4 linked regions of the Macaca mulatta genome follow. The protein of the gene in region 2 purifies or fractionates together with the protein of the main gene of each other region. This does not show direct contact. Links are inferred from orthologs where the notes say so. Each region holds a gene or a part of one and is shown on either strand. Other genes may lie near its edges.

The links.
Region 1: the proteins of PPP6R1 (region 2) and PPP6C purify together in Homo sapiens (affinity purification with mass spectrometry; 11 studies listed by BioGRID and IntAct, with this or other methods). This does not show direct contact. The link is inferred for Macaca mulatta from reciprocal best matches to the Homo sapiens genes PPP6R1 and PPP6C.
Region 3: the proteins of PPP6R1 (region 2) and ANKRD28 purify together in Homo sapiens (co-immunoprecipitation; 4 studies listed by BioGRID and IntAct, with this or other methods). This does not show direct contact. The link is inferred for Macaca mulatta from reciprocal best matches to the Homo sapiens genes PPP6R1 and ANKRD28.
Region 4: the proteins of PPP6R1 (region 2) and ANKRD44 purify together in Homo sapiens (co-immunoprecipitation; 5 studies listed by BioGRID and IntAct, counting the BioPlex papers as one, with this or other methods). This does not show direct contact. The link is inferred for Macaca mulatta from reciprocal best matches to the Homo sapiens genes PPP6R1 and ANKRD44.

The regions. Positions count from the first base shown.
Region 1 is NC_133420.1:22,609,887-22,617,098, reverse strand, and holds part of PPP6C (serine/threonine-protein phosphatase 6 catalytic subunit), read right to left. Parts: intron 6,741-7,212; coding exon 6,675-6,740; intron 4,536-6,674; coding exon 4,394-4,535; intron 1-4,393.
Region 2 is NC_133424.1:67,572,036-67,579,247, reverse strand, and holds part of PPP6R1 (serine/threonine-protein phosphatase 6 regulatory subunit 1), read left to right. Parts: intron 1-1,072; coding exon 1,073-1,305; exon of another isoform or gene 1,306-1,395; intron 1,396-2,079; exon of another isoform or gene 2,080-2,183; intron 2,184-2,749; exon of another isoform or gene 2,750-2,803; coding exon 2,804-2,990; intron 2,991-3,078; coding exon 3,079-3,216; intron 3,217-3,295; coding exon 3,296-3,361; intron 3,362-6,179; coding exon 6,180-6,292; intron 6,293-6,388; coding exon 6,389-6,502; intron 6,503-7,038; coding exon 7,039-7,201; intron 7,202-7,212. UniProt on the Homo sapiens protein: Regulatory subunit of protein phosphatase 6 (PP6). May function as a scaffolding PP6 subunit. Involved in the PP6-mediated dephosphorylation of NFKBIE opposing its degradation in response to TNF-alpha.
Region 3 is NC_133407.1:32,693,338-32,701,112, reverse strand, and holds the start of ANKRD28 (serine/threonine-protein phosphatase 6 regulatory ankyrin repeat subunit A), read right to left. Parts: upstream 4,905-7,775; 5' UTR 3,446-4,904; coding exon 3,320-3,445; intron 2,236-3,319; coding exon 2,152-2,235; intron 1-2,151. UniProt on the Homo sapiens protein: Regulatory subunit of protein phosphatase 6 (PP6) that may be involved in the recognition of phosphoprotein substrates. Involved in the PP6-mediated dephosphorylation of NFKBIE opposing its degradation in response to TNF-alpha.
Region 4 is NC_133417.1:101,932,393-101,939,604, forward strand, and holds part of ANKRD44 (serine/threonine-protein phosphatase 6 regulatory ankyrin repeat subunit B), read right to left. Parts: intron 5,066-7,212; coding exon 4,983-5,065; intron 3,299-4,982; coding exon 3,207-3,298; intron 551-3,206; coding exon 303-550; 3' UTR 1-302. UniProt on the Homo sapiens protein: Putative regulatory subunit of protein phosphatase 6 (PP6) that may be involved in the recognition of phosphoprotein substrates.

The sequences.
Region 1 (7,212 bases), on a different chromosome or scaffold from region 2:
CATTCTGAAAAATGCATTGTTAGGTGATTTTGTCATTGTGTGAACATCATCACATATCCTTACTAACCCAGATGGTCTAGCCTACTACACACCTAAGCAATATGATATAGCCTATTGCTTCTAGGCTATAAACTTGTGAAGCATGTCACTGTACTAAATATCGTAAGGAAATAGTAACACAAGGGTAAGTATTTGTGCAATAGGAATTTTTCAACTGCGTTATATCTACGGGACCACTGTTGTATATACAGTCCATCATCGACTGAAATGTCATTATGTGGCACATGACTGTATTTCCTAAGGATGTAGTACTGCTCTTCATTCCTGGAATGGACCTAAGAAGCAGCTGAAATTATTAACCAAAATGCTATCATTAGAAGAGTCAAATACAAATTTCACACAACCTGAAGCAAATGTTTTTACAGTTATGTTAATATTAGGTAATTCTGGTAAACAGATAAATTTATTTAAGGAGACCATTCTAGCAGGATAATCAGATCAAACAAATTAGAGGACCCTTAGTTATAGGAACATGAGCAATTCCTAACTCTTCTCAGGGCCAAGTTGTCTCTTCTGAGATTTTCTGCAAATTGTCCAACTAAACACTTGAGCTTCAGTGGATCACAACTGAGGACAGACTGCCAGTCAGGTTCTTACAAATTCCCAGTTGAACACTCTTCCTGCTGCCTCCATAGCTTTTTGTTTTTGAGATAAGGTCTCACTCTGTCGCCCAAGTCGGAATACAGTGGCGCAATCAGCAGTGGCAAGATCACAGCTCACTGTAACCTCAACCACTTGGGCTCAAGCGATCCTACCACCTCAGCCTTCCGAATAGCTGGAACTACAGGCATGTGCCACCACACCTGACTAATCTTATTTCTGGTAGAAATGGGGGTCCCCCTATGTTGTCCAGGCTGGTCTTGAACTCTTGAGCTCAAGCAATCCTCCTACCTCAGCCTCCCACAGTGCTGAGATTACAGGTGTGAGCCACTATACCCTGACTGTCTACATAGTTAATAGGGTACACACTTCTTCTGTTAACACCATGGAAGCTCTGCACTTTGACTTCTTCCATAATTTTAGAAAAAAAAAAACCTGACATACCATTATTGCCTTAAGTGAAGCTGAAAATGATATAGGAAAGAAGTCTGCAGGTTATGACCACTCCCCAAGATTTTCTCAATTATATATCTATGTGAAGCAAGATTGTTATGTAAACTTGGCATAAGAGAGCCCTAACAATGAGCTCAGGTTGCAGGCAGGGATCTTGAGCTTGGCTCTATAGTAACTGCCCAGCATGTGTTTTTTGTTTTTTTGTTTTTTTGTTTTTTTTTGAGACGGAGTCTCGCTCTGTCGCCCAGGCTGGAGTGCAGTGGCGCGATCTCGGCTCACTGCAAGCTCCGCCTCCCGGGTTCACGCCATTCTCCTGCCTCAGCCTCCCGAGTAGCTGGGACTACAGGCGCCCACAACCGCGCCCGGCTAATTTTTTGTATTTTTAGTAGAGACGGGGTTTCACCGTGGTCTCGATCTCCTGACCTTGTGATCCGCCCGCCTCGGCCTCCCAAAGTGCTGGGATTACAGGCGTGAGCCACCGCGCCCGGCCCCAGCATGTGTTGAACTGAAGGCCCAGTGTAAAGTTATATAGGGATATCTTATTCCTTTAAAATCAATGTAAGTCTTATAATAACTAAAATTATCTTATTCCCGAGGAGCTGTTAAGCTTCATTTTATTAAACAAAACCATACAACACCACTACAAGAACAGAGCTCTGGGAACAAGAAAGTTCAATACTAGATTTTGTGTTGCTGTCATTTTCCTCAGTCAAGGCACCTTGATTAAAATGTCCTCCTTCCTCACCCCATTTTTTTCCCCTTTAGCCCTACATTGATGAAAACTGGGCGAATTCTGGAGTATAACTGTATATATAAAAACAGTCACATATAAAAAACATATGTCATATATTAGTCATATATAACAATATGCGTTTTATATATTATGCATGTAGCATTAGTTACATATATATAGTAGGTGTGTGTGTTTTGATAACATTAGTTTTAGTATCTTCACTGAGCTAATATCATAGTATGGTATCTAAAATATTGATCCAAAAGTTGTATTTCAATTGGTGTTTGTTTTGTAAACGAAAATAAGAAGTAACTTGTAGAAAGGAGACAAATAGGCCGGGCGCGGTGGCTCAAGCCTGTAATCCCAGCACTTTGGAAGGCCGAGATGGGCGGATCACGAGGTCAGGAGATCGAGACCAGCCTGGCTAACACAGTGAAACCCCGTCTCTACTAAAAAATACAAAAAACTAGCCGGGCGAGGTGGCGGGCGCCTGTAGTCCCAGCTACTCGGGAGGCCGAGGCAGGAGAATGGCATAAATCCGGGAGGCGGAGCTTGCAGTGAGCCAAGATCGGGCCACTGCACTCCAGCCTGGGCGACAGAGCGAGACTCCGCCTCAAAAAAAAAAAAAAGAAAAAAGAAAGGAGACAAATATTATCTAACTTTACAAGTATTTAAAAAATTATATAAAAACAATTATCAAAATTTCTCTAATTGATAATGGCAGACAAACTGAAGAGTAAGAGAGTTCAGAGTATCTTTGTTTTCTTTTGTTTTGAGACAGAGTCTCGCTCTGTCACCCAGGCTGGAGTGCAATGGCACAATCTCAGCTCACTGCAACCTCCACCTCCCAGGTTCAAGTGATTCTCCTGCCTCAGCCTCCCGAGTAGCTGGGACTACAGGCAAGCGCCACCATGCCCAGCTAATTTTTGTATTTTTTGTAGAGACGCGGTTTCACCATGTTAGACAGGATGGTCTCAATCTCCTGACATCATGATCTGCCTGCCTCGGCCTCCTAAAGTGCTGGGATTACAGGCATGAGCCAACACGCCCAGCCCAGCCTATCTTTATAATGACAGAAGATAATTCAAAATATAAAATTTAAAACTAAAGGGTTCTGCAATTAATGTTTCCAAATCTCTCAATATCTGCCTTAATTGTGCTCAAGGAAAATCCAAATTCATAATCTTGATAATTATATTTCCTTCAAGGGGGTTCCTAATAAGCGCTCTCTCTCTCTCTCTCTGTAACTTTCAACCAAATAAAAGTTTTAGAGAAGTAGCTATTTTGCTTTTTTTTCTTTCTTGAGACATAGTCTCGCTCAGTTGCCCAGACTGGAGTGCAATGGCGCAATCTTGGCTCACTGCAACCTCCACCTCCTGGGTTCAATCAATTCTCCCTGCCTCAGCCTCCCAAGTAGCTGGGATTACAGGCCCCCACCACCATGCCCGGCTAACTTTTGTATTTTCAGTAGAGACGGGGTTTAGTTGGTCAGACTGGTCTCAAACTCCTGACCTCAGGTGATCCACCCGCCTCGGCCTCCCAAAGTGCTGGGATTACAGGGGTGAGCCACTGCGCCTGGCCTATTTTGCTTTTTATGACTAAGTTCTGCTTCTGATCCCTGAGGTCCTAGCATTCTCTGGAGTGAGCATACAGAGATATATGTAAAAGGATGTGTAATAGCAGCTTAAAAACAACTCTAAAGTCTAATGATAGAGAAAAAACTGATACATCAATTATGGTACATCCATATGGTATATGATGCAGCTATAAACATGACAATAAAGTCAAAAAATCAGGTATGACCCCATTTTAGTGTGTGTTTGTACATATATAAACACACATAAATACACACACACACAAAATAGATGAGAATGGACTCTCCAATTTGTGCAGAACATTCACCTTCAGCAGATTCTAGATTCCCACTCCAAAATATTTTGATTAATAAATCTGTGGTGAGGCCCAGCAATCTACATTTTTGTTTTGTTTTGTTTTGTTTTTTTGAGACGGAGGCTCACTATGTCGCCAGGCTGGAGTGCTATGGCGTGATCTTGGCTCACCATAACCTCCGACTCCTTGGTTCAAGCGACTGTCCTGCCTCAGCCTCCCGAGTAACTGGGATTACATGCATGCACCACCACGCCCAGCTCATTTTTGTATTTTTAGAAGAGACGGGGTTTCACCATATTGGCCAGGATGGTCTCGATCTCCTGACCTTGTGATCCGCCTGCCTCAGCCTCCCAAAGTGCTGTGATTACAGGTGTGAGCCACCCCATCCAGCCCACAATCTACATTTTTAATGAGAACCCAGGTGATTCCAGCAAGATAAACTAAGGACTACACTTTGAGGCACAGATCTAGAAAGATGCACACCAAAAAGTTAACAGTAATCTCTCCAGCATAAGATTTTCAATTGTTGGGGAGGAGTGAAGGAGTGAGGATGTGGGGAAAATAATATACATAAAGCATGTGTATGACTTGTGTAGCTTTGTTTTCCAAAGAGGAAAGTAAAATAATATTCAGAATCAGAGAAATAGGAGTTCTTACCATAAAATCCATAGACCTGTGTTATCTGTCTACTCTCATGATTTCCTCGCAAAAGTGTAATACGATCAGGCCATTTAGCCTTTAATGCAAGAAGGTAAGTGAAGGTCTCCAAACTATAGTAACCTCTGTCTACAAAATCACCCTGTGAAGTAAAAGTGTACAGTTACAAACAATACAATAGCCACAATATTCTTTTCAAATTACATCAAACTGCACAAACTCATGGTTCATAACTACAATAAAAAGTTACATACTGAAATATTTGGAAATTTGATTTTAACAAAAATTAAAATAGAAGTAAACAAACTGTTTCTATTAAATGTTTATAGAAACAAGATTTTGGACTCCAGGGAAACCTACAAGAATCTGCTGTGCCATTCTCTCAAGAACTTTCCCTGAAAAACCACCATTTTCTCGCTTTTTTTTTTTCCAGACAGAGTATCACTCTGTCACCCAGGCTGGAGTGCAGTTGCGCAATCTCGGCTCACTGCAACCTCCACCTCCTGGGTTCAAGTGATTCTCCTGCCTCAGCCTCCTGAGTAGCTGGGATTACAGGCGCACACCGACACCACACCTGGCTAATTTTTCTATTTTTAGCAGAGACAGGGGTTTCACCATGTTGGTCAGGCTGGTCTGAAACTCCTGACCTTGTGATCTGCCCACCTCGGCCTCCCAAAGTGCTGGGATTATAGGTGTGAGCCACCATACCTGGCAAAACCATTTTTTTCAATCCTCTATTACCTGCATTAGTTGATTTGGTCATCTGTTAACCAGTATTTTTTAAGTAATTTAATTTTTAAAAATTCAATTTTTTTTTTTTTTTTTAGAGATGGGGGTCTCACTATGTTGCCCAGGTTGGTCTAGAACTCCTGAGCCTAAACAATCATCCCACCTCAGCCTCCAAGTAGCTGGGACTACAGGTGTGCACCACCATGCCCAGATAAAATAATTTTCTATTTTAAGAAATCATTTTAACTGTATTGGAAGAGCTGCCTACTTGAAGAAAAAAAATTTTTTTGTAAAAACAAATACCATAATTATAACAGCATTCTAGGTTCAGTTTTGCATTTAACAACCATATATGATAATATACTATTTACACTTCCCATTAATATCTGACTTGGGCCAATATTACACCAATAGGAAAACAACTGAAAGAAAAGTGGCCAAGTGCGGTGGCTCATGTCTATAATCCCAGCACCTTGGGAGGCCGAGGCCAGCAGATTAGGAGGTCAAGAGATCCTGACCATCCTGGCCAACATGGTGAAACCCCGTCTCTAGTAAAAATACAAAAATTAGCTGGGCATGGTGGCACGCGCCTGTAATCCCAGCTACTCAGGAGGCTGAGGCAAGAGAATCACTTGAACCCGGAAGGCAGAGGTAGCAATAAGCTGATCACACCTGCACTCCAACCTGGCAACAGAGCGAGACTCCATTTCAAAAAAAAAAAAAAAAAAAAATAGGAAAGTGACCCAGAAACTTTCAGAAGGAAAGATAATGAGAGAAGGATCCAGAAAAAGTTCAACAGTAACACTACATTCCAAAAGAAAAGCAAACATCTACCTTAATAGCAAATGTGTAGGTATGTATATTCATCCATCCATAGATTAACAAGAGATAAAAATGAATGCTCGAAAAGTTTGAATAAATAATAGTCAATTGAAGATTTATGCCTTAAACCAGGGGTTCTGGGTTATTTTTATGCCCACTCATTACTGATAGCTATTACCCAACCCTATCTACAGTGGCTTACTAAGGCAATTAATTAGAGGACATAGTTAAATGTAGAAAAGTACACAATCACTTTGATATGGTTTGGCTGTGTCCCCACCCAAATCTCATCTTGAACTCCCATATGTTGTGGGAGGGACTCGGTGGGAAGTAATTGAACCATGGGGGCAAGTCTTTCCTGTGCTGTTCTCATGATAGTAAGTCTCGTGAGATCTGATGGTTTTAAAAACAAGAGTTCTCTGCACAGTCTCTCTCTCTCTCTTTGCCTGCTGCCATCCATGTAAGATGTGACTTGGTCCTGCCTGCCTTCTGCATGATTATGAGGCCTCTCCAGCCATGTGAAACTGTAAGTCCATTAAACCTCTTTCTTTTATACTTGCCCAGTCTCGGGTATGTCTTTATCAGCAGCATGAAAATGGACTAATACACACCTTTTCATATACTGAAATGGGGACTGTCACATGGCAAAAAATTATTATGCAATTTACATTTAATAAGTCAGATCCTTTCCATGTTAAACAAGCACTTGATATCAGTGGTGTTTACATACCATAAATATGTAGTTTGTGTCAGGAACCTGACCTCCAGTTCTGAACAGTTCACAAAGGTCATAAAACTATAAAAGAAATGCAATATATGCTGATTACAAATTCCTGTTAAGAAGCAAAACAACAAAACTGAGAGTGAAATGTGTAAAGAAGCAGTTAAGAGGACTCCAAATATTTACATTTTTAAGAAATAAAGTGTAAGCCAAACTGCCAAGCACACAGTTCTCACGACTAAAAAAAGCACCAAATAAAGCTCAGTTACCATAAAACCACTACTAGATCATTATCATAGGCTCCCTTTCTCATTTTCTTTCATACATCTCCCCATCTATCTCTTGAGAATTCTGACATCCTTTACAAATTGTCCAATTTCTCAGTAAGCTAATCTAACAGCCAACCCAAATTCTGTATCTATTTCAATGAGACAAGAGATTAAGGAAACAAGTGGATATCTCTTTTTCTTCCAAACTGAACTTACATGACACTTCACAGTGTCATACAGAGATATTCCCATATTCTACAGTTAAGAGTCATGTACCC
Region 2 (7,212 bases):
GGTGAGCTCTGCAGTGGACGGTCTGTGTGGAGGCTTTGTAGGGCCCTGCGGAGCAGTGACATAGTACAGGGCAGGGGCTCAGAATGGGGTTGCCTGGCATCTTGTTAATGCTCTGTGTATGTGTCCTTATTGCCAGTGAGTTCCTGTGCAGGAGTGTTTAGGGGCTGGATCCAGGCCGAGGAACCAGACGCTGTCCTCCAGAGGGCGGGAGCCAGCTCCAGATGGGGACAGGGTCAGGGCTGGGTGTTGCTGGCTTTGTCCTTCCTCTGCAGAATCTTGTCTATCCCACCCTGGGTTCCTTCAGGTCCTGGTCAGTGACTGTTCTGGGGGCCCCTCCCTTCCAGCTTTTCCTCTTCCTCGTTCCAGCCCAGGTGCTGGGTGAGAGGATGGTTGGGGTGTGTTTGTGTGTGAGTGGTGTCCAGGCAACGGCCACAGCCTGGAGACGCACAGACTTCCTCTCTTCCCCCTGCCACCGCCCCATGCCTCCCACGCAGCCTCGGGTGATTTGCTGGGCCAAGCAGCAGCCGTGTGCTGAAAGTCATCGGGCGTTTGAGTTTGTTGAACAAATACAGGTTGAAGCAAATTTGAAGACAGAGGTTCAGGCCCCGCCCCTGCAGTGTCCCACCCAAAAGTGGGGATAGTGGACCCAGACCCTCATGGGGAGACAGGGCCTGAGGCCTCTCAGTGCACAGTGTCCAGCCTCTACTCGCATGCCCTGCACACAGTCCACACTGGGGACTTCACCAGGCCCGAGGCCTCAGGTGTGAAGTGACCCCCCGGACCTCAGGCGAGGCGGCCTGGAGGCTGGAGGCTGGAGGTGGGGAAGAGGGGTGGGCTCGAGGGCAGCTGTAGGAGCCTGGTACTCAGTGGGAGCCTTATTAAGCATGAGTGATGGAGGCACTGAGCCTGTGGGCAGTCCCAGGGTGGGGCTGGGCTCAGTGTGAGGGAGAGGGCTGGGTCTTGGGGAGAGGCTGTGCCCAAGGTGGGCACTCAGCCCCTGTGGTCAGCCCCTCGTCCAGCAGGGACTCCCCTGGGGCGTCTGACGCGGCGCTGGTTGTGTCCATGCCTGTAGGGCGCCATGTTTTGGAAGTTTGACCTGCACACAAGCTCACACCTGGACACGCTGCTGGAGCGGGAGGACCTGAGCCTGCCGGAGCTGCTGGACGAGGAAGACGTGCTGCAGGAGTGCAAGGTGGTCAACCGCAAGCTGCTGGACTTCCTGCTGCAGCCACCCCACCTGCAGGCCATGGTGGCCTGGGTCACCCAGGAGCCGCCCGCTAGCGGTGAGGAGCGGCTTCGCTACAAGTGAGTTCCCTCGCTCCTGGCCAGCCCGTCCCTATCAGCATCACACATACCTTCACTACGCAAGCCTCACAGCTACCCTGAAATGCGTCAGTATCAGTAAACTCCAGTTTGGGGATCAGGAAAGCGAGGCAGGGAGCAGCCAGGCCCCCCCTGCACAAGGCCTCACAGCTCACTGGGTGCAGACCAAGGAATGCAGTGGCATAGTCACAGGAGCCACAAAGTCATGGGCCCAAGCGATCCTCCCGCCTCAATCTCCCGAGTAGCTGGGACCACAAGTGTGTGACAACATGCCTGGCTGGGTTTTCTGTTTATTCGACGCTTTTTATTTTATTTATTTTTTATTAAAAAAATTTTTTGTGTGTTTGCGAGACGTTTGTCTGCTATTGAAGACATTTTAAGATTACTTATTTTTTGGCCGGGCGCGGTGGCTCAAGCCTGTAATCCCAGCACTTTGGGAGGCTGAGACGGGCGGATCATGAGGTCAGGAGATGGAGACCATCCTGGCTAACACGGTGAAACCCCATCTCTACTAAAAAAATACAAAAAACTAGCTGGGCGAGGTGGTGGCGCCTGTAGTCCCAGCTACTCGGGAGGCTGAGGCAGGAGAATGGCGTAAACCCGGGAGGCGGAGCCTGCAGTGAGCTGAGATCCGGCCACTGCACCCCAGCCTGGGTGACAGAGTGAGACTCTGACTCAAAAAAAAAAAAAAAGATTACTTATTTTTTAATCCAAGTGATACTCAAAAGACACTTTTTTTTTGTTTTTGGAGACTCACTGTGTCACCAGGTTGGAGTGCAGTGGCATGATTGTCTCACTGCAACCTCTGCCTCCCGGATTCAAGTGATTCTCCTGCCTCACCCTCCTCAGTAGCTGGGACTGTAAGTCACCACACCTGGCTAATTTTTGTATTTTTAGTAGAGACGGGGTTTCGCCATGTTGCCCAGGCTGGTCTCAAACTCCTGACCTCAAGTGATCTGCCTGCTTTGGCCTCCCAAGGGGCACCTCCGCACAGTCCTAGAGCAGATTGTGGTCCCTCAGGGCCTTGAATGGCTGCTGCTGGGGTGGCTCTTGTCTTGGAGCCGTCAGGCACCGTGTGAGAGTTTGGAGAAGGGAGGCAGGAGGTGGGGCTGGAAGCTGAGCAAGGTTCCAGGAGTCAGCGGAACTGGGGCAGTGTACGGGGCCGCGAGTGAAGCCGCTGAGTCAGAAGGGATGAGCGTTAGCTGTTGGGGGATTGGGAAGCACAGGAGCTTCAGGACCAGGCTTGTCTTGGGGGTGGTGAGGAGCCTGGGATGGGACGGCTGGGTGTTAGCAGGGTAGGGGAGGCCTGGTGTGGGCCCTTATTTCTGCGTCAGCCCTGTCCTCTGCCTTGTCATGCCCTTTCCCCTTCCGGGATGGGGTCTCTGCGGCCCCAGGAACCCAGTGCCCGGTGCAGAGAAGAGGGTAGAGCCTTGCCCCCTACCCCAACCTGAGCCCCCACCCACCTGTGCTTGCCTCCCAGGTACCCCAGTGTGGCCTGCGAGATTCTGACCTCAGACGTACCGCAGATCAATGACGCCCTGGGTGCTGATGAGTCCCTCCTGAACCGGCTCTACGGCTTCCTGCAGAGCACCGGCAGCCTCAATCCGCTGCTGGCCAGCTTCTTCAGCAAGGTCATGGGCATCCTCATCAACCGCAAGACGGACCAGGTGCCCTGGCCCCCACCCTGATGCCACGTGGGGTTGGGGGTGGCGGCCGGGCCAGGCCCTGTGCATGACGCAGCCCATGCGTCCCCAGCTTGTGTCCTTTCTGCGGAAGAAGGATGACTTCGTGGACCTGCTGCTGCGGCACATCGGCACCTCGGCCATCATGGACCTGCTGCTGCGCCTGCTTACCTGTGTGGAGCGGCCCCAGCTGAGGCAGGACGTTGTCAATGTGAGCAGGGCCGGCTCCTCTGGGGGTAGGGGGCTGGACACGGTGGATGGTGATGCAGCCCCCGCCTTCTCACCCTCAGTGGCTCAACGAGGAGAAGATCGTCCAGCGGCTGATTGAGCAGATCCACCCGTCGAAGGATGAGAATGTGAGTGCTGCCAGTGCCCCTGCAGCTTCCCCTTAGAGTCCGTTCCCCATGCCCAGCTCCCCGCTTTTAAAAGAGGAATTGGGGCTGGACGCGGTGGCTCGAGCCTGTAATTCCAGCACTTTGGGAGGGCGAAGTGGGAGGATTCTTGAGCCCATGCGTTTGAGACCAGCTTGGGCAACATAGTAACACCCATTTCTACATAAAAACTTACGTGTGTTGAGTGTGGTGGTGCACACCTGGAGTCCCTGCTACTTGGGAAGCTCAGGCAGGAGGATTGCTTGAGCTGGGAGGTCAAGGCTACAGTGAGTCATGATCACACCACTGCACTCCAGCCTGGGTGACAGACCCCGTCTCAAAAAAGGAAAAAAAAAAATTGGTGAGAAAAGAGAGCCTTGAGAACCAGGTATATCCATGCCCTTTGAGAAAAGGAAGGAAACTTGACTCAAATGATTCTCCCACCTTGGCCTCCGAAAGTGCTAGAAAGGTTTTTTTCATGACCCAGGAACTTGGCACATAATGCCTTGTAGGGAGGGGCCCTCCTCATCACCTGTCCCAGCCCTGGCCCCACATCCTTCCCTGCCCACCCTGACCTGTGCTGTTGCTGGGCCTGGCAGCTTTTTCCCTGTCTCCTGCCTGATTGAACCCCTCCATGTCCTTCTAAGGGTCCATCCAGCAGCCTTGCTTTCAAGGACCCTCACATCCTCCCCTTTAGTTCTGGGGGGGGCCCCACATCCATGTGTTTCTCCAGCTTACGTCTCCATCTCTGTCCTGGTGTCCAGCACAGGGCCTAGTGTAGAGTAGGTGTTTGTCAAGAGCCTCCGACGTCCGAGGCCCCCGGGAGCAACGTGTCCCTCCCCATGCCAGCTGCTGCCTCTGAGAGGCGTACAGGCTTGCAGAGCAGAGATATGGCTCTGGGCTCACCCAGGCTAGGGCCTGTCCCTGTGAGGGCCCTGAGGCATGGCCCGGGAGCAACACAGCCGAGCCCTGGCGGCTGCCCGTTGGGTTAGACTCAGCTCTGCTTATGCTTTTCTCTTCTGTAGCAGCTTTACTGAGATATAAATTACACCGCATATGACGCACCCACTGAAGCTTACAGTTCAGTGCTTTTAGTGTATTCACAGCGTTGTTTATCATCTTGTTGAATTTAGATTATTTTTTATCACTCCAAAAAACAAGTCCTGCCTGTAATCCCAGCATTTTGGCAGGTGAGGCTGGAGGATCGCTTGAGCCCAGGAGTTTGAGACTAGCCTGGGCAACATAGCAAGACCTTGTCTCTACAAAAAATTTGAAACTTAGCTGGCATTGGTGGTGCACACCTGTAGTCCTAGCTCCTCAAGAGTCTGAGACAGGAGGATCTGTTGGGCCCAGGAGTTCAAGGCTGCAGTGAGCTACGATGATACCACTGCACTCCAGCCTGGGGTGATGTAGAGGCCGTATCTTTTTTTTTTTTTTAGACAGGGTCTTGCTCCGTTGCCCAGGCTGGAGTGCAGTAGTGTGATCCCAGGCTGGAGTGCAGTGGTGTGGTCCCAGGCTGGAGTGCAGTGGTGTGGTCTTGCCTCACTGCAGCCTTGACCCCCTGGGCTCAAGCGATCCTCCTGCCTCCGCCACATGAGTGGCTGGAACTACAGGCGCATACCAGCATTCCTGGCTAATTATTTTGTACTTGTAGAGATGGAGTTTTTGCCACGTTGCCCAGGCTGGTCTCAAACTCCTGGGCTCAAGTGATGCTCCCACCTCGGCCTTTCAAAGTGCTGGGATTATAGACATGTGCTGTCACACCCAGCTGAGACCTTTTCTCCAGAAAAAAGAAAAAAAAGATACCCTGTATTCATTAGCACCCCCTCCCAATTTTTCCCTTTCTCTTCTCAGCCCCTGGCAACCACCAGACTATTCTGTCTCTGGATTTGTCTTTGGACATTTCATAAAATGGGATCATACACCATGTGGTCTGTGTCTGGTTTCTTTCACTAGCATGATGTTTTGTGGCTCATTCACGTGGTTGCGTGGATCAGTTTCACTGGTTTTGTGGCTCATTCACGTGGTTGCGTGGATCAGTTTCACTGTTTTTGTGCTCATTCACGTGGTTGTGTGGATCAGTTTCACTGTCTTTGTGGCTCATTCACGTGGTTGCGTGGATCAGTTACACTCCTTTTTTTGGCTGATTAGCCCTCCCCTGTGCGGACAGACCAGTTTGGGCATACCCACTCGTCAGTCGAAGCTGTCTGGGTCGTTGCGGGCAGTGCTGCCGGCCCTGTGTGCGAGCTCGTGGGCCTTCTGTGGATGCCTCCTGTCCTGGGGAGCCTTCCTGGGTTCCTGTTCTCTCCACCATTTTCCCTCTAGCAATTGGTGCTTCTGTGCCCCCTTCTTCTTTTTTTTTTTTTTTGAGACGGAGTCTCGCTCTGCCGCCCAGGCTGGAGTGCAGTGGCCGGATCTCAGCTCACTGCAAGCTCCGCCTCATGGGTTCACACCATTCTCCTGCCTCAGCCTCCCGAGTAGCTGGGACTACAGGCACCCGCCACCGCGCCCGGCTAGTTTTTTTTGTATTTTTTTTTTTAGTAGAGACGGGGTTTCACCGTGTTAGCCAGGATGGTCTCGATCTCCTGACCTCGTGATCCGCCCGCCTCGGCCTCCCAAAGTGCTGGGATTACAGGCTTGAGCCACCGCGCCCGGCCTGTGCCCCCTTCTTCTTAACGCGTGTCCCTGTGTCTGGGTGACCGTTTTTCCCTGGATGGTCAGCTCGGGGGCGGGGCTTCCAGCACCAGGCTGCAGAGGGCCCGGTGGCCCACCCAGGATCCTCACCTCTCTCTCCCCATCCCAGCAACATTCCAACGCGTCCCAGTCCCTGTGTGACATCGTCCGCCTGAGCCGGGAGCAGATGATCCAAGTCCAGGACAGCCCGGAGCCTGACCAGCTGCTGGCCACCCTGGAGAAGTGGGTGTGCGGGCGAAGCTAAGGCTGGGGGGAGCTGACTTGGGGATGCCCTGGGCCCCTGGCCCCTCACCCTGACCCCCGCCCCCACCCCCATAGGCAGGAGACGATTGAGCAGCTCTTAAGCAACATGTTCGAGGTGGAGCAGAGCCAGTCTGTCATCGTCAGTGGGATCCAGGTGCTGCTGACCCTGCTGGAGCCCAGGAGGCCGAGGTGAGGGATATGAGCCGCAGACCGTGCATGCTGCCCATCCCCTGGGGCTCTCTGGCCCCTCAGAGGCGGGTCTCGGTGTCCACCAAGTGAAACTGCCGCCTCCAAGTGGCGCCTTGCTCTGGTGGCTGCTTGTGCTCCCTGTGCAGTGGACAGTATGGGCCCAAGGGAGGAATCTTCCTGTCTTGTTTGACAAATGAGGGCGCTGAGGCTGAGGCCACTGCTGCAGCTTGTGTTGGGAGGGACCTCAGGCCCCCGTGCCCCTGCCTTACCATAAAGGCCTCTAGCTTGTTGGGTGTGCCTTCCCGCCCTCATCCCTCACCGGTGCCCCCACAGTGGACTGCCAATGCTGCCACCTGGCGAGCTCCCCACCCCACCCCAGCCAGGTGTAGTCTGAAGGGCCTCAGAAGAGAGCAGCGCCGGGGGCATGTGGCTCCTCGTCTTCCTCCAGACCCTGCAGACTCGGTCCTTGCGCCTGCTGTCGTGTGGGCACGCAGGCCGTCTAGGCTCACTCTGCCTTTGACCCTGCCCTGCTGCAGGTCCGAGTCCATGACTGTGAACAACTTCTTCAGCAGTGTGGATGGGCAGCTGGAGCTCCTGGCCCAGGGAGCCCTGGAAAGCACTGTGTCCAGTGTGGGCGCCTTGCACGCCCTGCGCCCGCGGCTCAGCTGCTTCCACCAGCTCCTGCTGGAGCCTCCCAAGGTCAGGGGCGG
Region 3 (7,775 bases), on a different chromosome or scaffold from region 2:
CAACTTCAAAAAACTTAAGAGAAACTTGAGTTTCAAAAAGTCCAGTGTTATTCTCCAAATACTTATTTAAATAAATTTACTTTGGAAAAATACCACAGTCACACTGACATAAAGCTTAAAAATATTTTATTACCAATTAAAAGGGCATTTAACACCCACTGCCTTTTAAAACCCCATATGATTCCTTATCAAACAAAATCATAAGATATTTACCATCTTAAATTCAAATAACGGCCAAAAAGTTAATAAATCTTGACTTTAAGGCAACACTCTCAACTACTAAGAAATGGTCATGAGAGAAAAGGCCTAAAGGCAATCATAAAAGTTGTTGTCAAAAACCTCTGTATCACTGAAGACAATGTTAGAGTCACTCTCAAGAAAGGACTACTGATGAATGAGCTGATGCTCTCAACGACTCTGAATATTTTTTAAATTTAGGATAAATTAATTAAATATAACATAAAAGTAATGTTAGCTGTAATAAACTTTGTTATGATGGAGAAATTGGCCCTGGTAAATGGAATTACAGTTCAAACTTTCTAACCAAGGTAGTATTTGTCAGTACTATTAAAATAAAACCAAAACAACAAGAAAACCTTAGGAGTTAAATGGAACAGAAAACATGTTTTCCACCTTTTCGTGCATCTATATACCCTTTTTGCTATTTTCTTAGAAATGCACACTCTTCAGTATACCCTGGGTAAAGTGACCAGACACTCCATTTAAAACAAACCATGGCCAGGCGCAGTGCCTCACGCCTATAATCCCAGCACTTTGGGAGGCCAAGGCGGGCGGATCACCTGAGATCAGGAGTTTGAGACCAGCCTGGCCAACATGGTGAATGAAACTCTGTCTCTACTCAAAACACAAAAATTAGTTGGGCGTGGTGGCAGGTGCCTGTAGTCCCAGCCACTCGGGAGGCCGAGGCAGGAGAATCGCTTGAACCTGGGAGGTAGAGGTTGCAGTGAGCTATCATGCCACTGCACTCCAGCTGGGCAACAGAGCCAGACTCTGTCTCTAAATACATACATACATACATATGTCCTGAATTAGGTGCATGTTTCCAACTAAATATAAACTTGAAGTCAATTCACTTAGAAAAAGCTTTAAAAAATATATAATGACAGCATTCTGTTCATTACCCAATGTTAAAATTAACAACAGTTTTAGCCAATGCCTCAAATCTATTCAGATAATCCATTGTTTTAAAAATAAGCTAAAACCTTTTTGTATCTACCTAAGTGGTCACAGCAGTATTGTATCAAGAAAAAAAAAAGGAGGAAAGATGAGAGTTAAAAATGAGCTTGCAACGGGTGCTTTCTTAAAACCCCAATCATTTCTAGGTCGTCTGTTTCGGTGTTGCCACAGCGACTTTGTGAATCATATGACTTTTCACTCCCTCCATAACTCAGGGGTACATTTGTTTCTGGTAAAAATATATACATTAGTGGATGTAATTTTGTTAGAGTACATAATGTACTTTCAGCTACAATTTAGTAAACTACATACTGGCCACTGAAAAAACATACAGAGAGAAAATTATCCGTATATCCACTCTTTCTAAAACTGTCCATCATGTCAGCAGTGAATATACTACTGTATCTTTAAGTCTGAAAACTTTTCGAACAATGACTTTACCGAAAACCTAATCTGACAAAAATTAATCAACCATCATCATAAAACACTCACCATGATTATTTACAAAAAGCAAATCTGATCTTATATTTAGATATACACTTAAAAGAATCCTCATTTGAAATGCACAGTTAAGTATTTAATGGTGAAGTATCATGATTTCTGCAACTTACTACATATACATGTAAAAGATGTATATCAATAAAGCAAATATGGCAAAATGTTATCAATGCCAAACATAAGTGAAAGGTATATGGGTAGTCAGAGTGTTTTTTTTAACTTTCCTGTGTTTAAAAAATTTCAAAGTAAAAAGCTGGGAGAACAAAAGACCCCTACTGGCTATTACTGCCCTGAGTGTATGTCCAGTGTTTTCCCTTTTGCCTCAATACCTTCCTGCCCTCATTTAAAACAACTGTTACAGAGTTATATTATGTCTTATAAACAAAAATCACAATTCTAGGAAATAATTTTAATAAGTAGTTTTAAAGGCTGGCATCAGTGAATTAACTGTTTTACCTGAAAGTTAACATCTTCTTTCTTAAATATTAGTGCTCGAACTTCATCAGGATCTCCGTTAAATATAGCTTGCACCAGTGATGGCTAAAATATAAGAGAGTAATAAAAACATTAGAATCATCCATGTGGGGTGACTAAGGATATTACATAGTTTCTGAATCTACAAGTTTTCTTCCCTGTAGCAATAATCACTTTCGACATTAGCCAGAAGTTTCATAAAACCAAATCATGTCAAAGTACAGGATTTCTACTTGGAAAAAAAAAGCCTAATTAAAAAAAAAAAAAAATGAATTCAGTTTGACCCAATTTAGGTAGTATAATAAACACAATCAGATTTTATTTCATTTCTTATAAGTAGAAGCCTTTGTTTCTGTATATGACAAAAAGAAAGACTCTTCCAAATACAAATGTGTGATCTCAACACCTACTTGTGGGACAGAACTTGTTAAGCAATTTCCAGCCCATGAAGTAAGGCTCTTTTGAAAAGGTCTGTTTGGGGCATCAAATTATCTTACATGGATTAGCACTACAGGTACAAAGATACAAATCCCAAGAAAGCAAACCTGGCAGTTGATGAAAATAGCCACTAATCAAAGACCAAAAAATACTGGATACTTAAATAACTTGAAAAGACAAACACATGCATAACTAAGTATAATGATTTCTTAACGACACAGACTCTTGATAAGGTATACTATACTAGTCAAGGAGCCAGCTGACAGTAGCACTAAAACCAAGGTTAAAGATGAAGACTGAATCTCATACAAAGTCTTGCATGTAAATACATAAAATTCATTACAGAAAAAGCCATGCTTTGGTATTGCTAGGGGTAGTCAACCTTTCCTAAAATATGTAGAGTTCCTGATTCTTGTTACATCAGTTTCTGAAACCACAAAATGAAAACAGAAACGTGGTTGCCATAACTACTAATTCTTAAATTATTTTTAAACAGTCTTTTTAAGAGATTAAGACATAGTAAAGACTGAAATGTTATTCGAAAAAGTAAAAATGAAATGTGCATTTTATACAAAAATATTATTGCATCATATTTACACATATATTTCTTTAATTTGGGTTTGTAAAGAAACTATTGGAAATCTACATCTACTCTTAAAAAACAAGATTTATACTACTAGTTCAGTAGAATATAGTAAACATATAAACTTACATATCTTACCAATACATTTCCAGAAGGTGGAGAATGTAGGGATTTATTTTCCTGTGGCAATTTAGAAATGAATGCAGGAGACTCATCTTCTACCTCCTCCAAAACAACAATACACACTCGACTCATTCGATCTTTTAAAACACTAAATTCCAAGCTATGTGATAAAAGTCACAGTTGGAAGAGCACAAGTAGTTTTTCCTCCTCTTCTGTACAACACTTACAAACATTCTCCGAACAGCACAACTGTTTTTTTTTTTTTTTAAGTTAATAAGTACTACTGGAAAAACAAGTTTAAAATTATGACTACATAATTTGTAACTTCCTAAATATAACAAAATTCTATTATTTCTGTTGGGTTACTGCAATACTTAAGAAGAAATTTCACACCAACATATCAATAACTAAAACTGAGTCCAAGCTCATTTAAAAATATTTTTCCTCTACCAAAAGAGTCTTATTGCTCTATCTCTGAAATTTACTTCCACAAAACAATCATTGTTTTTGGTGACACACCACCACACAATATAGAATGAAATGAGAAACAACTGCTATGACGGCGATGATCACAGCAATACCCACTGTTTCCTGCAAGGTCATAGAGTTACCAGTAGCTGTTTTGCTTATAATTGAAAATAAAAAATAAAATCTCACTATTCTGTTTCCACTTCTAATTTGTCTTCATTTCTTCATCACTGGTTTAATGCAGATACTATTCACAGAAAAAAAGATCTAGAGCTCAGCACAAATCCTGAAAATGAAGCTCAGAGGTTAACAATTCTTTCAGTGTTTGGGAAAGGGGCGAAAAAAAGAAAAAACAAAACCACTCTGCATTAATAGCAAAGCTGCAGTACATTTACATGTGATGAGTCAGATCACAAGAGACAATACGACTCTTGGTACTAGAATACAGCTTGATTAATCCAGATTTCCCATATAATAGAAGAAACACAGTTAGCTTTATTTCCATCGATAGTATAAGCAAGGCAGAGCATTCATTCTTTCTCCATCAGGCAGTTGTCTGTGGCTGCTCCAGCAAAAGGGCACAGGCACCAGGCAGAAATGGTGTTAGTGGAGAATCCTAATAGAACAAGCAGGCTGTGAAGGAATTAGAAGGCATTTGAGCTCAAATTACTGCTGCAGGCTTTTTGTTTTCTTAAAAAAAAAAAAAAAAGAGGGAGAAAAAAAAAACATAGTAGTTTATCATTCCAGTGTTTCCTTTGATCTCCACATGAATACAGCTTCCATTAAACAGTCTTCATTCAGAGGAAAAAACAGCAGACTGTGCATCTTCTTTGAGCCAACTACTTTATTCAATCATCTGCCTCTTTGCCAATATAGTTTCCTTCCACTGTGAAAACCGCTACAGTTATCCTTTTCAGATTTCAAATGCTTTCTTGTTCCTCAGATGATCTTGCAAAACACCGCTGACATCCCCAAATGAGTAGGTCCTTAAAAAATATCTATAGAACCTCAGTATCAGTCCCACAGAAGCATTCCAATGGAGCAACAGTCTGAAGAGCAAAGACTGCAGACCCGCAGGATGAAATGCCTAGTAATGCTCACATGTTACACTTACCAGAGATCTGAGCTACTGCTCGGGATGTAGCTTCCTCTAGCAGGAGAAAAAAATAGTGCATTTGGACAGCCTTCACAATTAGAAGGTTCATGCCAGTTCTGTGACTAATCCAGATCAAACTAAAAAATTCTATAACTGAAAAATGAGTGCGCTTTTAACATTTTCCACTAAAAGCCACAAGGAAATCTGGTGTACTGCCTCTGCTGACTAACAGTGGTTTTAGCAAGTAAACAATTCCTAACGGCTTAACTGCTTTCGTGTGTTACAATAAAGCAAATGTTTAACCCTATGATGACAGTTGCAGTAAGAATATGCCTGCAATGGACTCATAAAAGTTTAAAGATGGAGAAATATTTTATAAGATTATAAAAACCATGAAATAGTTTTATTCATATTTTTACCAAGATCAGTTTTAATCTGCCAGATGTATTTTATTTTCTAGAATGCAAAGTTTAAACAAATGAAATTTAAGATTGTCTAACAATTTCTAAATTGGTGAATTTAATCAATCATTGATTCATATTTTAAAGGGAAAAGCAAACATTTCATAATGTAGAAATCCTAACCTAAAATGATATAAATCATTTGATTTTTCACTGAAGAAATAAAATAATCCTACCTTCCCATTTGGATAGGGAATAAAGCCTTAAAAATCTGTTAAAGAGGTACATTAAGAAAAAAAAAAAGGCCTTCGTCCTGAATCACCTATGTCAAAAGGGTACAGGGTAATGCAAATAATCTCCCTCCCTATAAATTTCCCAAAGTCACAAATGTCAAAACCAATCATTTGTTTTTTTTTTTTTTTTCTTCTTTCTCTGTTTACCCAACATGGGGGATATCTCTCAAGATAAAACTTACAAAGAAAATACCATGGTCCCCCTTCAATCTGTGTTTTTCATATTAACTAGTATTTTTATTAATAAACATACTTTTGAACATCTGTGATATGCTATGTGCTGCACATTCTCATTTAATACAATAATCTTGCTATATTCCCATTATAGAGGGAAAAATGGACTCAGAAATGATGTATTTTACCCAAAGTTGTGTAAATTAATAAAGCTGTATATAATTTCAAACACATACTCTTTCTAATCTATTCTGCTATGCTATCACTGAGTACACACACATACAGACACACTCTCACCACTCATCTCCAGAACTTTGCAACCTATAATACTAGCTTATAAAAGTGATCTTAACAAACAGGTAACCTATAAAGGTTGTGAAAAGTTTAGATAACAAAGGAATATAATATTTATTGCTATATTCTAAAACAAGTTATTTCCAAATGAGTACTTCAAAGCAAGTCTTATAACCATAAAAAACCCAGCATGATACAGATAATATAAGAATGTCAGAAATTAAAACAAGAACCATTGAAAGCTATAAAATATATCAATCTACGAAAGAAGCAATAACTAACATATTTGTACCAATTAAAATATGCTAACAATTCACTATATTTTAAAATATATAAAATACTTTTAAGCCAAATTAAAGGTATGTAAATATTAAACATAAATTATGTTATTCATCTCCACATAGCTGAATCAAAAATACCTTAATATTTGAAATACCTGAAAGCGAAACAACTATAGTAATAATATCCTATATTTCATCTTCAGGGTTCTCAGGCCCCCAAAGCAAAATCTCTTTTTATCTTAACAAGCTTAACTTGTTCCAAAGTATCTAGTACCTCAGTTCACCTACTTAGACTTAAGCAGGTATATCCTGTTTCTTGTTTTACGTCAACCTCCATACTTAGGTCTTTTCCAACCAGAAAGCAAACTCCTTGAAGGTAGGGACTGTGTTACACACATATTGTTTCCTTCCACCTATAAATAATTCCACTGTAATGAATTCTAACATCACAAGACTCTGGAAGGGTGGGAGATTTATAAACAAGAATAGTGGGGGTGTGTTGGTATACATATATTTTAACCAGAAAATATAGGAGGCATTAAGGTGCAACAAAGTGAGTTTCATATCTTTAATAAGTGAACAATTAAAATTTCAGAAGCTGATGGGATACAACACAAAGGTATGGGGTGATGGTTAAAACTAAGGGCTCAGGAGTCATTCCACCTGAAGTTCAATTCTGATTCCATCATTTCCTAGCTGTGTCCTTGGGCAAACTACTTAAATTCCCTGAGCCTAAATTTCTTGACACTTACATAAGAAAAATAATAACCTGTAGAGATTTTTATCTAGGAGAAATAGAGTAATAGTATGGTGCTTGAGAATGTAGGCTATTTTGTAGTCAAATTGTCTGAAGTTCTAATCCAGGCTTCCCGCTAACCTAATTCTGGGATCCTGGGCTACTCATTTAGTAACCTCTCTGTGTTCATTTTAACATCTATTAAATGACATTAACAGAATTTACTTCATAGTGTTGTGAAATCTAAACAAGATAACCTTATTGTTATGGATATTTGGGATAGCTGAATGATATCTCTTGTGAAGCCAGTGAGTGGATCAAAGGCTATTAAACTCCTCCTCCCCTCGACCCAGTACAAATGAGGTAATTCAGACTAAAGTCTAGAGATCCCATTCAGTTGCTAGGTCCCCAAACATTTCAGTGGTCTCTTGAGAGTCTGCTGAAAGGTCGTTTGAGACTCTAGTAACTAGACAAGCACATACTAAGTGTTAACTGGGGAGAGGGAGCAGTAAACTTAGGCGAGAAAGACTACCAGGTTCTTCCATTCTTCTACCTTCACTAGATTTTACAGTTTAGGGACTGTAAAATTCCTTTGGGAAAAAGGATAGGAAGTACTAGCCCAGGTATATTATAAAATCAAAAGCAAATAAAAAATACACAGAGAAATATGTCAGTTTTTAAATTATTTAAATTAGCAGTAGTTTTGTGTCTTCTATTGA
Region 4 (7,212 bases), on a different chromosome or scaffold from region 2:
TGCCTCTCTGTTGCATTATCCCCAAAGAACAGGAATTAAATACATCTTTTATTCTTTACTTAAAATGAGAGGTAGACTTCCATAGAAGTATCTTAAAGAAGATGTGAAACAAAACAAAACTGGGGCCATCTGTGTGAGTGTTCCACCCAACAGCCTCACTGCCCGCCTCGATTAATTCCTTCTCTACTAGCTTCTGGAAGCCCAGGCCCCAAATAATACTTGAACACACATAAACCTGGAATTCAAGCTTCTTTCCTTTCCTCCAACACAGGTGATCAAAGGAAAGCTTCTACAGTCCAAAGTCAAAACGTTTCCGAATCAGAATCATTTTCATTGTACCCATCCTCCGAGCCTACGTTGTTACTGCACAGGCTAACCATGCTACCCAGATTGGAGAGGGTCGTCCTGCTCAAATTGTCTTTTTTTAAACAAACGAAGTTGACAGCCGTCATTGTACTGGAAGGAGAAAAAGGCATCATGGTAGCCAAAATGAGGGCCAGGCAGTCAGCCACGTCTTTGTTAGGAGCGCAAGCCAGGGCCGGGGTATGACCTGGGCGTAAATGCAGACAAGGCAGTGGTTAGTTCTGGGGAGTCTAGAGGAGGCACGAGCATTCCACAGTACATCTCAGATGACCTCACAGGCGGAGATGTATGTTGAGTTAGAAATCATGCCAGGTAAAAGGAGGAGTTACTTCTCACAAGTCATGCTAGGGGTGAGGCTAGACGGGGAGGGAGGGAAGACATTTTATGGAGGGCTTTTTATTTTTGTTTTCAGCTCATATGACTACGACAAGCACGATATTATCCAATGTTAGGCAGGATTCCAGCCTTCATTTAGTGAACACAAACATGAGGGGGTGGGTGTGGGACACAATTTCACAATAAACAGCAACAGGACAATCAGGAAGATGTTTCCGCCTGACAGCACACACACACCATGAGCCTCAGGCCTGGGCCTGAGAAGGACTCTCATTCTGAGAACAATGACTTTCTATTGTTAGGTAATTGTGTGTCCAATTAGAAAAGATATGGAAAATTAGATGACTGCAAAAGTGAGTAATGAAGTTTTGTCACTTTATATATGTTTCATAGAAAGTAGACACCAATAACTGGTTTTAGAAAAATGGAATCATTTCAGTAGATCAGACACAGGAAAGCACTGGTTGTTTATGATTAAAAATTTACAATCATTTAGGAGAAATTTAACAAAAACATTTTTTTTGATAGGGTTTCACTCTGTTGCCCAGGCTGGATTGTAGTGGCATGGGCCTTGATCTCACTACAGTCTTGTCTTTCGGACTCACGCAATCCTCTCACCTCAGCCTCCCGAATAGCTGGGACTGTAGGTGTGTGCCACTACTCCCAGCTGATTTTTTTTTTTTAATATTTTTTATTTGAGTCGAGGTCTTGCTATATTTCCCAGGCTGTTCTCAAACTCCTGGGGTCAAGCGATCCTCCCACTTTGGCTTCCCAAAGTCCTGGGATTATAGGCATAAGCCATCACACCTGGCCTAATAGAGTACTTAAAAATGGCCACTCACCAACCAAAGTCCCAAATCTAAAATGTAATGGATGTGAGAAAATTACTGTGCTTGTCATAATTAGAACCATGTTATTCTCATTTAGACTCAATGGGTCCAGCCCAGATAAGAAAACTGTCTTAACTCATAATACAGGTTCTTTGGGGAAGTAGATTAAGTCTTTGACTTGATTATTTCCCTTATCCAACCTTTATTCTACTGGCCTGAAAAGGGTTAGCTGCCTTCTCGGCTGGTCAAAGTTTCCACTACACAGTGAGTAGGGCACTTGCTCAGTAATTCAGAGGAATAGCTCACTAAAACTTCACGTTTGTTGTTTTGTTTATCATCACTCGACCTGCTCTCCCCACCCTGCTCTTTAGTACATCATTCATTTTTCTGGTATGAACACAAATAAGAATGAACAGGTAGTTTAACATTTCATTCCACAAAAGTCAGTGATGAGTAAAGGAATCGTGGTTGTACTGCTGTATAAAATGGCCCCAAACGTTCCCAGGCCTTTGGGATGCAGGTATGCACCAACCCAGGGCTCTTGTTCCTAAGGTCACTATCAGCTGAACAAACCTTCAGTGCAGCAGATTTACACCAGGAAAAGCAAAACTAATTTATTCTATTCTCTTTGACCATTTTGGAGAAAAACTGTGGGCCTCTGCAGGCCGACCCTAAGTCTACAGTGGCGTTAAGAGGGTGTGGGAAGGTGAGGCAGGAAAACCAAGGAGATGGAGTAATAGGGAACTTTCTGCACTTCCTAGATGAGTCAGGTGGGGGACAGAGCAGGGTACATGCTAGGATAAATGGGGCTGGAAAATCAAAACTAATAAGAGTTAGCTACTGATGCCAGTATGGCTGCTTACTTCTGAGAAACAGGCATGAGCTGCTAATCCCAACACCTGTAACAAGCAGTTGATTGAGTTACATTAATACATTATAATACTTTAATTAAATGCCACATTTTAAAAATTACAGAATTCATAAATATCCAGAAGTTCCTTTTTTGCTCCCCAAGGTTAATAGGCGTTGTGCTTAAAATGGCAGCTTAGTGCAATTCTAGTAGCCATTCTTTTCAAAATGTCTTAGGAAGCAGAGTAGAAAGCTTCTGTTAAGAATTAGTTCATTAGGAAAGGAACACTATGCAGATCGGGGGAAGCTTCAAGCCTAGACACTGATTAAGAAATTTTACTCTTGTTCCTCAAATTTCCATACTTGGAATATGAGTTCTGATCTGTACTTAAAGAAAAAAAAAAAGTTTGATCTCAGAATGAACTTAAATACAATCAAAAATCTAGGTTTTCATTTGAGCCCTTGAGCATGCACTAATGACATGTGTAATCCCTAACTCTTCAGCATCTGCAGTTAAAATTTTGAGTGTCAACCTGAAACTCTTTTAGTGTGTCTAAAATATTTTAACCACTGTGCTGAGGAGTTAGAGACCAGCTGCTGGCATTGCATGCAAAATGGACAGCACTGGGTGGGCTACAGGTAGACTATGTGATTTACAAAAAGACAGACAGGACCAGTTATCCTTGCTTGATTTCTCCCACATGGGACTTCCAAGGGGGACAGAATTCTTAACCGCTTTTTAAACTAGCACCTATCTTTCTCATTTTCCTCTGGCTTCGACTAGCTTATGGAAAGTACCTGCAGTCACTGTTCACTTTTTCCACTTACCATTTTCATCTACAGCAAGTACACAGGCCCCTTTGGCCAGCAACTCCTCAACTACCACCTTCAAGCCATTGCGTGCAGCAACGTGGAGGGGTCTAAAAAACACAAGACCGAGCATCAGTTGTGATACATACTTGGGTGAGAATGTGGAATTCTGGTTAGCCCATGTCGCTAAAAGGAAGTACTTAGACTCTGCAAATAGTACATGGATGTTTTTACTTAAGAAAAAAAAAAAATTGCTGCCCAGATCTTTTCCAGGTGCTAATGGTCCAACTGTTGTTGTATGTTTGGCCCAGATCTTGCTGCAGATATTACAAACATTCTGCATCTCAAACAATCTCAATGGCAGTAAACAGGAAGACAGAGGAAGAACTCAAGCTTTGCTGTTTTTTGCAGAAGGCCCTTTACTGCTTGATTTCTAACACAGCATTTGAATCACTGTTTCACACAGTTCAATAATATGACTGGCATTAATGCCACCCATATATATGTATAATTTCAACCCTCCTTGTTACTACAAAATGCACACAAATGTTTTAGTGAATTTATAATACCTTAAAGAATTATGTCAAACTCAGTATATTGTGCTTATATACTGCTTAAGAATCTTTTTTTTTTTTTTGAGACAGGGTCTCACTCTGTCACCCAGGCTGGAGTGCAGTGGCATGATCACAGCTCACTGCAGCCTTGACCTTCTGCTGGGCTCAAGTGATTCTCCTGCCTCAGTCTCCTGAGTAGCTGGGACTACAGGTGCAAACCACCGTGGCTGGCTAATTTTTTTATTTTTTGTAGAGAAGGAGTTTTATCATGTTGGCCAGGCTGGTCTCAAACTGCTAGGCCCAAGTGATCTGCCTGTCTGAGCCTCCCAAAGTGCCAGGATTACGGGCATGAGCCACCACACCCAATTTTTTGTTTGTTTGTTTGTTTGGAGACAGAGTCTTGATCTTGTTGCCCAGGCTGGAGTGCAGTGGCGCGGTCTCAGCTCAGTGCAAACTCTGCCTCCCAGGCTCAAGTGATTCTCCGGCCTCAGCCTCCCAAGTAGCTGAGATTACAGGCACCCACCATTACGCCCAGCTAATTTTTTTGGTGGTGGTGTATTTTTTAGTAGAGATGGGGTTTCACCATGTTGGCCAGGCTGGTCATGAACTCCTGGCCTCAAGTAATCCACCTGCCTCAGCCTCCCAAAGTGTTGGGATTACAGGCATGAGCCACCACGCCCTGCTTAAGAATCTTAAATGAAAAAAATTCCTTTGCCTTTAAAACAAATGCATAAATAATTTCCTAAAGCAGAAAATGAAACAGCTTTTAGATCTTTCACACCAAGGGTTACACTGAATTATATTAAAATATAATCAAGACAAATAGCTTAGAAACTCTTCAAATGTATTCTGGGAACCTGATTTGTAAAACTGTCATTTTCTAGTCAGAATACATAATGCTAATACATAATACAAATAGCTTCCCCAAATATGTCAGTCCATAAGATTTTTCTAACAGCCCACTAAATTTATAATATTACCCCAGAAATATCAGCAAAGAAAAACACAGACTTCACAAAATTCTATGAAGACATATCAAAAGAAGGATTCTAACTAAAACTGCCTAGCTTGGTCAGCACTTGTAGGTATGTGACTGTCACCTTCATGCAGGGGAAGCCAGGTCTGCATCTTTCACCACTGTGCCCCCCAGAGCTAGTCTGGCACACAGCAGGCTCTTAATATTTATTGAATAAATGACTATGACCCTGGGTTCAAGTCCAACTTTAGTGGTTACACTTACGTCTGCAGTGCATTATTTTTTGCATTAATAAGGCTCTCGTCTTGTATCTTGTCAAGTATTAACAAGGCACATTTTTCATGACCCTAATAAAGAAAAAGAATGATAAGAAATACAGGACAGAGACACAGAAAAGTTACTGTGAAATTTCTTCATTATGATTTAAATTGAAAATGAATTTCCTCTGCCTAACAACATTCTATAGAGCTATTTTCTGAGTAATTTTTTTTTCTTCTCAATAGGGAATGGGCTCCAGACACTCTAAGAGTCCTAATAGGGTCTATTAGAACTTGGTTAACATAAGCCTGATCTAAAATATTAATGCTGCTAAGATAAATTTTAAAATTAATCCCCAGAGAGGTAAAGCAGATGCTAGTTTAGCTAGGCCAGCTGGTAAGTAGGGAATAGAATTCGGAATATTGTCTGAATCCTACAACATTTAACATACATCAAAAGTCCCACCTCCTATTTCAAGACATCAGTTACTACTTCAATTATCCATTTATCCTTGGAATTCCCATTACATCTATTATCCATATCATTCATCATCATTAATTGCCTTATACTGTGAAGAAACCCTATTTCAGGAAAACTCATTCTTTTCTTCCTCGACCAGTGGAAGATCTCTCTCTGTACCTTATGAAAATAGATGGTTAATAATCTTTGAAAATCAACTGAGGAGTCAGAGACCCTTTCACAATTTTCTTCCTAAGCCCTTGCTGACAAACATGTGGCCTGCAGAGCAGTCATATTAGTATTACTGGGAGTTAGAACTGCTGAATCTCAAGCTCTGCCCCAGACCTAATAAATCAGAATCTGTTTTTTCACAGATCTCCTAGGTGATTCATTTGCATGATAAAGTTTGAAAAGCATTGCACTTATATTCACCAAAATACTATACCTTGAAATAAACTTCATAAAGCTGAGCACTTTTTGTGGTTCCCATGGGCTTCCCAGAGCATGAAGTGAGAAAATGCAAGCAATGAAAGGAATGTCTGAGACTTCTGGTACCATATAGGTAACACTGATAATATTTTAACTACACTGAAATAAATCACCGCCATGGGTGCTAACTGGCGTCATACTATAATGCCTTATATGGGAGACCGTTAAATATAATTTTAGAAATGTCCATGGAGGTTTCATTCTGATGCACTGCTGTTGGAGGGTAAACTGTTGTGACCTCATAAGAGGGCAAGTTGGTCTAAAAATATTTATATCTGGCAGGCTGCGGTGGCTCACGCTTGTAATCCTAGCACTTTGGGGTGCCAAGGCGGGCAGATCATGAGGTCAGGAGTTCGAGACCAGCCTGGCCAGCATGGTGAAACTCTGTCTCTCACAAAAAATATAAAAATTAGCCGGGCATGGTGGCGCGTGCCTGTAGTCCCAGCTACTCGGGCTGCTGAGGCAGGAGAATCTTTTGAACTTGGGAGGCGGAGGTTGCAGTGGGCCAAGATGGCACCACTGCATTCCAGCCTGGGCAACAGAGTGAGATTCCGTCTCAAAAAAAAAAAAAAAAAAAAAAAAGTATATCATTAGACTCAATAATTCCACACTTAGGAATTTATCTTAAAGTAATGAGTAAGGTTGTTTATAAAAGATTCCTCTGCAATAAGCATTATTTATATAGGTTGAGCATACCAAATTCGAAAATCTGAAACAAAAAATGCTACAAAATCCAAAACTTTTTGAATATTGACATAACACTAAGATTTCTGGATTTGGGATAATCAACAGGTATAATACAAATATTCCAAAATCCAAAAAATTCCTAAATCTGAAACACTTCTAGTCCCAGCCATTTCAGGTAAGAAATACTGAACTTGTACTAGCATATAATTGAAAACAAGCTATTTGTCTAATAATAGGAAATGGGTTGAATAAAAGATGGCCCATTCCTAAGCTGAAACACTACAAATCTAAAATACCATAAAACATGATGTTTAAAAGATATTAATATTATACGATTCAGCAATAAAACCAAATTTTGTAAAATCATATGTATGACATAAAAGATAAATTATATATATATGTAATTTTACATAATTTATCTTTTCTTTTTTTTTTGAGATGGAGTTTCACTCTTGTTGCCCAGTCTGGAGTGCAATGGCGCGATCTTGGCTCACCACAACCTCTGCCTCCCGGGTTCAAACGATTCTCCTGGCTCAGCCTCCTGAGTAGCTGGGATTACAGGCATGCACCACCACACCCGGCTAATTTTGTATTTTTGGTA